2 linked regions of the Saccharomyces cerevisiae S288C genome follow. The gene in region 2 interacts genetically with the main gene of each other region. Each region holds a gene or a part of one and is shown on either strand. Other genes may lie near its edges.

Region 1 (8,304 bases), on a different chromosome or scaffold from region 2:
GCACAACTACAAGAGTTCTAGTGAACAGACCTGAATGTTATAAAGTAGCGTTCCAAAAACTCTTATACATTGAAATAAAAGGGTATGCTAAAAGAATATTTTTAAGTATATTATACTCTGTTGGCTTTCCTACATACGGTTTTTCATAGCTCTCAATTTATCCATAATTTGAGCTCTGTCCCATGAATTATTCGTATCTCCGGCAGCTTTTTGGACCTTTGGATCTTCTAATCTCATGAATGGATTAAATTCTACCTCATCTTTCAAAGTGAACCGCCCTGCTGTGACTTCATGCTTGGAGCAGAATTGTTCTAACTCATCCAATGCTTTATTTTCACCAACTTGCGGGTAAATCTTACGAACAAACTTTACATTATCACTTGTGTATTCGTGTCCTGGATAAACCCTCGTTTTACTCCAGTTCTGCCTGCCCACAGTTTCTAAGATAGAATTGTTCAGAGCTATATCCATTTCTTCGCCTGTACCCTCAAAAAACCTACCGCAACCAGCGGTAAATAGTGTATCGCCAGTAAAAATGCAGCGCTCATCTGTTGTTGGATCTTTCACATAATAACAGATAGAGTCTCTGGTATGGCAGGGCGTCCTAATACAAGTAATCTCTAAGTCACCTAGGTGTAACTTTTTCAAATTCTCCGGAATTATCGTAACCTTTGGGCAGTCCTTTGACCCTCCTATAACCTCAACTTTTGAAGTTGGATTTTTCTCTTTTAAATACTTCAAGATATCAGCGTTACCATCTGCATGGTCATAATGGTGATGTGTATTAACAATTGCTTCAACACTTATTTTCTCATCCTCAGTCAACTCTGGCAGAACCTCAGGAGGCTCTGCTGGATCGATTAGCCACGATTTTTTATTTTTACTGTCGGACAATAGATAGCAGTAATTAACACCACCAGACTCCCATCTCATTTTAATCGATTTAACCTGCATTTTTTGTCCTCCTTTTCTTGTGTTTTTGTGTTGTCCTGCAGTCTTCCCTTTGATATTGGTAAATCTAGCAACTTATCTAAGAATACTAAAATTTTTCTAAGAGGGATATAATGGGTTTTTAAATCGGTAAAAAAATCCTTATTACCTCCATAATATCCCTTGAAACCGACGGGTAATACGACTAGTAGACTTACTGAAAATACATAGAGTAGGAGTAAAATATATGAATTTACTAAAAAATTGATGAATATTAATTATTATTATTGTTATAAATCTATATGCTCGTGGATTTTTTTAAATAAATTAGACTTACCTGTTATTTACAAGACTTCTTCGTTTGACATTAGTCCGGCCTGTGATTCTATGTCTTGCTCACCTGCAATAGCCCGCGTAGAAAAAAGCCTTGACCAAAAATTCCCAATCGAAAATTTGGACTTGAAATCTGAAATCCCATGTGATTCAATATCCGGTGGAGTCCACTTCTTCAACATCAATGAACTTAGAACGACACTGACCGAGCTGAATGCCATCGCTAAACCGGCGAGCATTGGAGGAAGAGTTATGCCCCAAGGAATGAGCACACCCATAGCAATCGGAATCATGAATATATTATAGCAAAGTGCCCAGAACAAATTCAGCTTTATTCTTTTGAACGTTTTTAGTGAAATATCGATGGCGTTGGCCAGTCCTCTCAAACTATTAGTATTCAGATCATTACCGCACAGTATAACAATATCAGCTGCTTCAATAGCAATCTCCGTACCTGTTGAAATGGCAATACCTAGATCACTCAGTGCTAAAGCGGGAGCGTCGTTAATGCCATCGCCAACAACAGCAACCTTGTTATTACCTTCTTTATCTTGAATTTTTTTCACGAGATCACATTTGCCTGTGGGTGACACATCGCTGTAAACATTTTCGAAGCTTATACCTACTTCTCTAGCGACTCTTTTTGCTGCTGAGTTATTATCGCCAGTAATCATATACGTTTCATATCCATTTCTTTGTAGATACTGAACTGTTGCGTAAGAATCATGTTTAACTTCATCATTAATCTCGAACAAGCCAAACACATGCCCGTTTACTGATACGTATGATACAGTGTTTCCTTGGTCGACATTACTGTTAATAAATCCGGATTTTTTTAATGCATCCTCCAAAATCAGCGCCTCGTTCCCAATACAAATATCATAAGTATTTCCATTAACTTGACACTTTGAGACTATTCCCTTTCCAAGCACGTATTCGCTTTCTAAAACAACGGCATTTAAAGCCTTATTACAGTTCAAACCATCACAATAACGTATAATTGCTTTCGAAACTGGATGGTCACTAATGGATTCCGTTGCTTTTATACAGGCGAGAACTTCGTCTTCATCCACGTTTCCAACCCAATTTGAATCTTTAAGGAACTTTTTCACAACCATAAAACCTGTAGTTAAGGTACCTGTTTTATCAAAAACAAAAGTAGTAATACTATTGAATTTTTCCAATACTTCTCCGCCCTTTATTAAGACACCATTCTGAGCTCCAACCCCTGTACCCACCATTATAGCAGTCGGCGTGGCAAGTCCCAATGCACATGGGCATGCGACGATGACAACAGAAGTAGCAGTTTGTAAGCAAATAAAAAAATTATCAGCCTTAGTATTTGCGGTGAAAGCGACGGGAGGATTAGCCGAGATGTTTAAAATAAAACACCAAATAAAGAAAGTCAATACTGCCAAAATTAGGATCCCCGGAACAAAAATAGAGGCTAAATAATCTGCATACCCCTGAATGGGAGCTTTACTCAATTGTGCTTCTTTCATTACCTTGATAATATTTGCTAATTTAGTTTCCTCCCCAACGGTAGTAGTTCTGAAGTAGAAATGTCCAGGTCCATTAACAGAACCAGCAATAACCGGAAAACCAGTTTTCTTGGGCACCAAAATGGATTCGCCTGTCATTAACGACTCGTCAATTTCAGATTCACCTCTTGTTATGATGCCATCAGCAGGAATTTTCATCCCTGGTTTAATCTCCACTATATCGTTCACTTGCAATAATTCTATGGGAATTTCCTTGGTTTCATTCCGCTCCACGTCAGATATAATTGAACACACCGATGGAGTGAGCTGAATTAATTTAGAAAGTGCGGTTGATGTTTGTGATTTAGCTAAAGTTTCCAAATATTTCCCGATGGAAATATATGAAATGATCATGATTGATGTGTCGAAAACGATCCTTGGGAGTTTGCCAGTACTTGAGGGATGGAACATATTGTGAACTAAAGAAAACACAGAAAATGTGTATGCACAAGTAGTGGAAACACAAACTAGTGTATCCATGGTTCCTGAACCGTGCTTTAAAGATGCCCATGCTGCCTTGTAAAAGTAAAAACCAACGCTGAACTGAATATAGCTTGCCAATATTACACCCAAAATATCTCTGTAGAACAGACCTCTAACAAAGGAGGTTTCTTTGTAAGGGAATATGCGGTCCTGAACAATTGTTGGCCACATCATAGGGACAATCATATACAATAGCATACATATTATAGCCAAAAGGGTGGATTTTATGCTGTTTTTTTTCCAGAATCTTATCTCGTCCTCTTTAGAGAGAAGCCTTAACTGGGTAGTATTATCTAAATTGGAAAATACAGTGAATTTATATCCGGTCCTCTCAAGGTGCCTCAATAAATCTCTAATGCCGAGTTCGTTACAACAGTATTTTATGGTGAGTGTGTGCATATCATCAGAAATTTCTATCGATTTTACACCTAGGTCTAACAAAAATTGAAACCTTTCGCTTACTGAAGAAAGTATGAGTGGGGATTCGTCCTCGAAAGCCTTAGTTACTTTCAAGATCACCGTTTTTTCGGTCATGTCTGCATTCCCGTTGCCATCCATAATAATATTTGAGTCAAATCCACAGTCTTCAATCATTTCTCTGGCGGTTTCTAGCGTTGTCTTGGACGGTTCATAAATAACATGGCACTCTTCCGTTACCAAGGAAACGACTACCGATTCAACACCCTCAATGCCTTCCACTTGTTTGGTGACTGTAGAAACACAAGACCCACAGGTCATACCTTGTACACTCAGTAGTCCTTCCTTCGTACTTATGGCTGTAATTTCAGAATCTCTTAGTATCTCACAGTCAAATCCACAATCCTCTATAATTTCCTTAATAGAATCGGCGGTAACCTCGTTATCGTATGTCACCTGGCACTCATTAGTCACTAAACTAATATCACATTTTGTTACACCCTTTAAAGCTCGTAACTGCGTATTGATTGTATTAGTACAGGCGCTGCATGTCATTCCATGTACAGCAAGTATCACTTCTCTCATTTCGTTTTAAGTATTAAACACCTCAACTCCTTGGCCGCAAAATTTACGAAATATCTCAAATACCTTTGAAAAGTAGCTTAGTACCAGGCAGAATTAAAGTCTAATCCATATGTCTCAAATTTGAGAAGAAATCCATTAGTTACCGTGACTTCCCTAAATATATACAAGTGTGTGCAAAAGGTCTCGGAATCACCGGTGCAAACCCTTCGGCAGCTAATTGCACTCATCGCCGCACTGCACCCGTTCTTTTCCACTGCCCGCGAAAATCGCTACTACAAATAACTGCACCCAGGACAATACTTACACAGATCGACCTGTTTTCGAGCCAGACGGTGGCAACACAACATTCTAACGGTGCTGGCCCTCTGCAAGAGACTGTACCAACATCTGCGTATTTTTCAAGATACTAACGTTTATTGATGAGATCTGCCGAGTGAGGAATCTTGCATATTCTGAAATAACAAAGATACGTACAAGTTAAACTGTATTATTATTTACATTGCGTTTGCAGCAGCCTAAAGCCGGGGACAGTCAGAAGCCCATTATTTTATGAATGTCGGCCAGGTTTTTTGCTGCTTTTTCTCTCGCTTTGCGCATGCCAGATTCAACGACACTATGCAAATAGGTCGGTTCGTTGATATATTTCTCAAATTCTGTTCTTGGGCCTTTCAATTCCTCAATTATCACTTCTGAAACATAATCTTTGAAATCCCTATAGTTATTGAAACGAGATACATCTTCTACGACATCTTCAATCGATTTTCTTTGAATGCCACTGACAATGTTAATTAAATTCGATACGCCTGGTCTTTCTACAGGGTCGTAGTAGAACCTATCAGAAATGGAATCTGTTAAAGCTTTTCTAATCTTTTTCTGAATTGCCTTAGGCTCATCATTCAAAAAAATTACAGAGTCGTGATTCGGATCACTCTTGGACATTTTCTTTTCAGGCGTGCTTAAGCTCAAAACTTTTTTCGTTTGTGCCAACATAGTTACAGGTTTAGGAAAAAAATTTTTCTTGTACATTTTGTTAAACTTTTCAGCAAGGTGTCTTGTTAGTTCCAAATGCTGCGATTGATCATCGCCAACAGGAACGTGTGTAGATTTATAAAGTAGAATATCCGCTGCCTGTAAAACAGGATACGAAAATAAGCCCAGTCTAACTTTTCCCACGTCAGAATCGTTAACCAGATAATCCCCATTAGTTGATTGTTTGATATTCGATTTTGATTTCCATTGCGTCATGCGGTTAAGTAATCCCATCGAGGCAAGAGTAGAAAGCAACCAGTGTAATTCACTGTGTTGAGGGATGGCGGATTGGTAGATCACCGAAGCCTTTTCTGGATCTACACCGACAGCCAGTATACTTGCTACTGCCTCATGGCGAAATTTTCTAAACATTTCTCCATCTGGCTTTGGAACAGTGATAGCGTGTAAATCAGCAACTCCAAATATCAATTCCTGGCCAGGTTGTTTTAATTCACATAAGTCTGTCCAAACACGTGTAGCACCTAGATAATTACCAAGGTGGAAACACCCAGTTGGCTGAATCATACTAAATACCGTAGCATTACTATGAAGCGCTTCGGAATTCAGCTTAAAATCGGCACGTTGCACTGTGCTTATCCACCTTTTACTGATTAACTTCAGAACCGCCTGCTTATTCGACATCTTCCTTGTAAAAGATAGTGTAAATATTTATCAAAACCTGATTCACTCCTTAGTAACGTAAAACCTTTGAGATGGTGCAGGTAGCCTGTAATAAATCATAATACCCTTTTCTACTTTCTCGAAGCCGATTTTATCACGTGAAAAACAAAAAATACCTTTGCACTTCTATCTTGTTTTGTGTTGCCTTTATAAGGAGAAAAAGATCTTCAAGAAAAGGTCATACTAATTGTAGAAACGTTTGAATTTAAGGAATCTGACTCTGATGTGCATAGCAGTGTTACTACTATTTATTTTCTTGAAAAATACCATCGTGATTGCCTTCAAATAGGTCATCTAAAACTTTCTGCTCTCAGCGGGCCGTGTTTTGAAAAATCTCACATCGAATATTGTATCGTCTTTGCCTCATTAATTGCGAATAAATACTAGATTTGTAGATATCACAAATCAAAATCGGGCTATACCACGACATTTTAATAGTTCAATTGGTTTACTTATTTGGTAATGGCGTCTATCAATCTGATTAAGTCTTTGAAACTTTACAAGGAAAAGATATGGTCTTTTGACTTTTCTCAAGGTATATTAGCAACAGGTTCAACTGATCGAAAAATTAAGCTAGTTAGCGTGAAATATGACGATTTTACGTTAATTGATGTGCTAGATGAGACTGCTCATAAAAAGGCGATTCGATCTGTGGCGTGGAGACCTCACACTTCGCTGTTAGCGGCTGGCTCTTTTGATTCCACTGTATCTATCTGGGCTAAGGAAGAATCTGCTGACAGAACTTTCGAGATGGACCTGCTAGCTATTATCGAAGGTCACGAAAATGAAGTAAAAGGTGTAGCGTGGTCGAATGATGGATATTACCTAGCAACCTGTTCCAGAGATAAAAGCGTGTGGATATGGGAAACAGATGAAAGTGGCGAGGAATATGAGTGTATTAGTGTTTTGCAAGAACATTCACAAGACGTTAAACATGTTATATGGCATCCATCTGAAGCATTACTGGCTTCAAGTTCTTATGATGACACCGTCAGGATATGGAAAGACTATGACGATGACTGGGAATGTGTTGCTGTCTTAAATGGCCATGAAGGAACTGTTTGGTCTTCTGATTTTGACAAGACTGAGGGCGTGTTTAGACTGTGCAGTGGAAGCGACGATTCCACTGTACGGGTATGGAAATACATGGGTGACGACGAGGATGATCAACAAGAATGGGTTTGTGAAGCTATTCTCCCGGATGTACACAAAAGACAGGTATACAATGTTGCATGGGGCTTTAATGGCCTCATTGCTAGTGTAGGAGCGGATGGAGTACTAGCGGTCTATGAAGAAGTAGACGGAGAATGGAAAGTTTTTGCTAAACGTGCATTATGTCATGGAGTTTATGAAATCAACGTTGTGAAGTGGTTGGAGTTAAATGGTAAAACTATACTTGCAACAGGCGGTGACGACGGGATCGTAAATTTCTGGTCTCTAGAAAAAGCAGCGTAGATGTAGAAGCAAGAGTACAATTCAGGAACTCATATTAACACAGTGATCGATCTGAATTCTAAAAATAAACTTAATGACGATTTTTCTACCTAGTTACATAAACCTTTGTATCACTATAACGCAATTCTGTCATGTGTGACGGAGTGACCTCGTTATACATATCCCTGCATTAAAAGCATGCGGTAAAAACTGAAATTTAAAAATGAAAAAAAAAAAAATTAGATATTCGGAAGACTTGTAATTAAGCATTATCTCGAATAAAGAAAGGTTACACTGAAAGTTTCATACTCGCGGTCACTCTTAATAATAGCTATATTTTCTGATTTTCTCTTAAGATTTTGAAAAGGGCATCTGAACGACTGCCCACTCAGCCATATTCAACAAATCGTCGAGCGCATACCTAGCTGAAAAAGATCCATAAAGTGCATTTTGATACAGTCTCTTTCGTCGAAAAAATAGTGGCTATACTTCTTTTCAAGAATTAGGATGAGCGAATCAGTGAAAGAAAACGTTACTCCGACACGTAACTTCCGTCGTACTCAAGGGCCCCAAAATAATACAAAACCTCACAACGACAGGAAGAATTTCAGAAGAAAGCAAAAGAAAAATAACCTTTCTGCTGAACCCAACCTCACCACTTCAAGCGCAGATGATACTGATGAAGAAAATGAATTATGTGTAATTTGTGCGCGCAAGTTAACATACGTATCTCTAACACCATGCCATCATAAGACATGCCATATCTGTGGTTTCAGACAACGAGCTTTGTACAACAAGAAAAGCTGTTTGATTTGCAGAACGGAGAATGAAGAAGTCATGTTTACCGATCGCATAGATGGTGATATTTCAG
Region 2 (4,008 bases):
AACTTATATTGTCATCTGTAAGGCAGCAAAATCCAAGATGGGCAATGTATATAGGTATATAGTTTAGTATTGTCATCTCATAGAATATCAACTGCATAATATACATGTATATATAATTTCCCATTCATTTAGAGGCTTCTTTTTTCGTCTGTATCGCTGAACCTTATGCCGGTTAAATCTAACAAAATTTTTTTGAACTGGAGGAACTAAAAAAAAAAATATTAATCTTGACTAATATACTAATCAGTCACTTTACATCTTAATGAAACCGAAAGAATCACTGATAAAATGTCCGACTCCGACTCCGACTCCGATTATGAATTGTAAGTACAGGATATTTTCAACACAGTAACGTAGAATTACTAACTAACACGAAACTTAATAGGACACTTTCTGCTAATGCCCTCGCTGCCCTTGAAGAATTCAAAAGAGAGGAACAACAACATCAAGAAGCCTTTCAAAAGCTTTACGACGAAACGGATGAAGACTTCCAAAAGAAAAAAAAAGAAGAAGGGATGAAGCTTTTCAAGGAAGATTGGCAGCTTTCCCAGTTTTGGTACAGCGATGACACAGCCGCAATTTTAGCAGATGCCATATTGGAAGGTGCGGACGAAAACACTGTAATTGCAATAGTTAGTGCGCCATCCGTCTATGCTGCCATTCAAAAGAAACCTACTAATGAAATTCCAACCGAACATATCTACTTGTTCGAATTTGATAAGAGATTCGAGTTGTTAGCTGGAAGAGATCATTTCTTTTTTTATGATTACAATAAACCACTGGACTTCAGTGATGAAATTAAAGGAAAAGTTGATAGATTGTTAATTGACCCACCTTTTTTAAATGAAGATTGTCAAACAAAGTGTATGTATATCATAAACATATCCCTACTCATTTTTTAATCTTTTTTCCAGTATCTTTTCATCTTACTAACTGTTATTCATTGATATAAAATAGCCTCTATCACTGCAAAGTGTTTATTAGCGCCAAATGACAACTCTAAAACTAAGAAAGGAGTTTTTAAGCACCGCCTCATAAGTTGTACTGGTGAAAGAATGTCTGAAGTCATATCCAAAGTTTATTCTGACACAAGAATAACAACTTTTCTTCCTGAACATTCTAATGGTTTGAGTAACGAATTTAGGTGCTACGCAAATTTTGAATGTAGTTCATGGAAATTTGCTTCTTGAGCTTTTTAAGAGCTTCGATAAATTTGAAAATTAATTGTACTACATAAAAAATATGTAAACATCAATATATATAATATAATCACATTTCAAATATATCACGTGTTATATTTACTATATAAAAATTCAATAAATAAAAAGTTAGAAGATAAAAATTATATTATACATATTTTTATTTTTATTATAATTTTTGTTTTTGCCTTCCGAAAAGAAAATAGTTTTTTGTATTACGGAAATTACAGAAAAATGTTTAATTTTGATTTCATATTTTTTCTTTCTTTGAAAGAATATTGACGACAAAGTATTGGATAATTATAATGCAAGGAAAGGATATTTGTAGATCTTCGGTTCAATGAAAGTTAATGCGGTATGAATATTGCTTTCTCCAGGACCTTTTTTTTTTTTTAGAGGCTATTTTATTGTCGGTGTTTGTGGATTTTATATTTCTCGGTCCGATAGTCCCTATAGATCGTTTATTGTTCTCTCGAGAAATGGTATCGTTTAAAAATCTCATATAAGCCTGCAAGGAAAAGATTATGCTGCAGCTATAAAATAGAATAGACAACAATATAGATTGTCAATTTTGTCCAATTTTATTTGCAACTCTACCTGGAAGGGCAAACAAAAATAAATATGTCAAAGATAGATTCAGTTTTAATTATCGGTGGTTCTGGTTTTCTTGGATTGCACTTAATTCAGCAATTTTTTGATATTAATCCTAAGCCAGACATCCACATTTTTGATGTTAGAGATCTCCCTGAAAAACTTTCAAAACAGTTTACTTTTAATGTAGACGACATAAAATTTCATAAGGGTGATTTAACATCACCTGATGATATGGAAAACGCAATTAACGAAAGTAAAGCAAATGTTGTTGTTCATTGTGCTTCTCCAATGCATGGTCAAAATCCAGATATTTATGACATAGTGAATGTTAAGGGAACCCGTAACGTGATAGATATGTGCAAGAAATGTGGCGTTAATATACTTGTATATACTTCCTCTGCTGGTGTTATTTTTAATGGGCAAGATGTGCACAATGCAGACGAAACCTGGCCAATCCCAGAAGTTCCTATGGATGCGTACAATGAGACTAAAGCTATCGCCGAAGATATGGTCTTGAAGGCGAATGATCCAAGCAGTGATTTCTATACTGTTGCTCTTCGTCCAGCTGGTATTTTTGGCCCAGGTGATAGGCAATTAGTACCTGGTCTAAGACAGGTTGCGAAATTGGGGCAGTCGAAGTTCCAAATTGGTGATAATAACAATCTATTTGATTGGACTTATGCTGGAAATGTTGCTGACGCGCATGTGTTAGCTGCACAGAAACTTCTCGATCCAAAAACAAGAACTGCTGTCTCGGGTGAAACTTTTTTCATTACCAATGATACCCCCACCTATTTTTGGGCCTTGGCCCGTACTGTGTGGAAGGCAGATGGTCATATTGATAAACATGTTATTGTTTTGAAAAGGCCAGTTGCAATTTGTGCAGGTTATCTTTCAGAATGGGTATCCAAGATGCTGGGTAAAGAGCCAGGTTTGACTCCATTCAGAGTCAAGATTGTGTGTGCATACCGTTATCACAACATTGCTAAGGCCAAAAAGTTGCTAGGCTACACACCAAGAGTTGGTATTGAAGAAGGAATTAACAAAACGTTGGCCTGGATGGACGAAGGTTTGTAATGGCAATCGTTAGGAGCTTTTTGATCCGATTATCGAAAGATAGTATGTTGAAATAGCATATCTGATACGCACCGTATATATTTATTCTGTCTTTATAGATGAATAATAAGAATTGAAACACCTAAAACATCTTGATGACTAGGTTAGTATATATATGTATACACTCATTTAATGACTACACTATGAAGCGTCGGGGTAATGCATGTAAATAAATAGAAATAAATCATTGAAACAACGAAATTCTCATGTATGCCTGCTAAGGATTCAATTTTTTGATATGTACGGTCATAATACTTTCTGCTTAACAAAAAACGAGCGTAAACTTTTCATTTGCCATACACAAATTATAATGAGAAGAGTAACTTGAGTTACCGTCCACCACATTGCGCGAGAATTCACAGACTCTGATATGTCTCTAAAGGATTCTTCACGTTCTCTCATCAGTTGTTGCTCTCTCCTGATATCCACGATCTTAGAATTCAATATACTGACTTTTCCGTGCAAACTTTCCAAGGTTTCTTTTCTTTGCATGTCCAACATTGCTTCAAAACCGACTTCAAATTCGATTTCTAACTTTGTTTTGGTTTTCCCTACCCAGTTATTTACCCTAGACTGTAAACAGATCTTATATTCTCCAGATTCCAAAGCTAGAAAGCTGAAGTCACCGGAAGGAGAGCCCTGTTGGTGGACTACCCTATGATTATTATCAAAGACTTCTTCCACATCTATGACAATGCCATAGTCATTATAACTGGGAAGCGCATAATCTGCCAACTTATCATCGTAAACTTCCAAATTGTAAGAACCTTTTAAAAGGGTGTCTTTGGATAGTTCCTTCAGGAAGCATTTTCTGTCTCCACCATAACCATAGAAGTAAAACGCGGAAACTCTGAATGGCAATAAAACGAATGCCAGGAAGATGTAGTGTGATAACATTGGCAAATCTAGATCCTTTCAGATTGAGGCGATAAGGAAGAAAGCGCCAACAATCTGTTCACAACCTCACCAATAAAGTCTATCAGTAGAGATTTTAACTATACACCCCATATCTTGTTGTGTCGATATTGGTTTCTTACCCGAAGAACGAGTTTCTAATTCCACGACGTTTTTTTATCCCACACAAAATGGTTTTTTGCAC

The links.
Region 1: of ERG26 (region 2) and CCC2, extra expression of one is lethal in a mutant of the other (dosage lethality), as found in Saccharomyces cerevisiae (one study listed by BioGRID).

What each region holds. Positions count from the first base shown.
Region 1 is NC_001136.10:1,001,660-1,009,963, reverse strand, and holds CCC2 (Cu(2+)-transporting P-type ATPase CCC2), read right to left. Parts: upstream 4,290-8,304; coding exon 1,275-4,289; downstream 1-1,274. Other genes in the region: hydroxyacylglutathione hydrolase GLO2, read right to left, coding at 130-954; tryptophan--tRNA ligase MSW1, read right to left, coding at 4,821-5,960; iron-sulfur cluster assembly protein CIA1, read left to right, coding at 6,462-7,454; E3 ubiquitin-protein ligase HEL2, read left to right, coding at 7,941-8,304. UniProt on the Saccharomyces cerevisiae protein: Copper-transporting P-type ATPase necessary for the proper uptake of iron. Required for export of copper from cytosol into extracytosolic compartment.
Region 2 is NC_001139.9:494,315-498,322, reverse strand, and holds ERG26 (sterol-4-alpha-carboxylate 3-dehydrogenase (decarboxylating)), read left to right. Parts: upstream 1-1,820; coding exon 1,821-2,870; downstream 2,871-4,008. Other genes in the region: EFM5 (protein-lysine N-methyltransferase), read left to right, coding at 289-323, 386-864, 958-1,190; ERP6 (Erp6p), read right to left, coding at 3,156-3,806. UniProt on the Saccharomyces cerevisiae protein: Sterol-4-alpha-carboxylate 3-dehydrogenase; part of the third module of ergosterol biosynthesis pathway that includes the late steps of the pathway.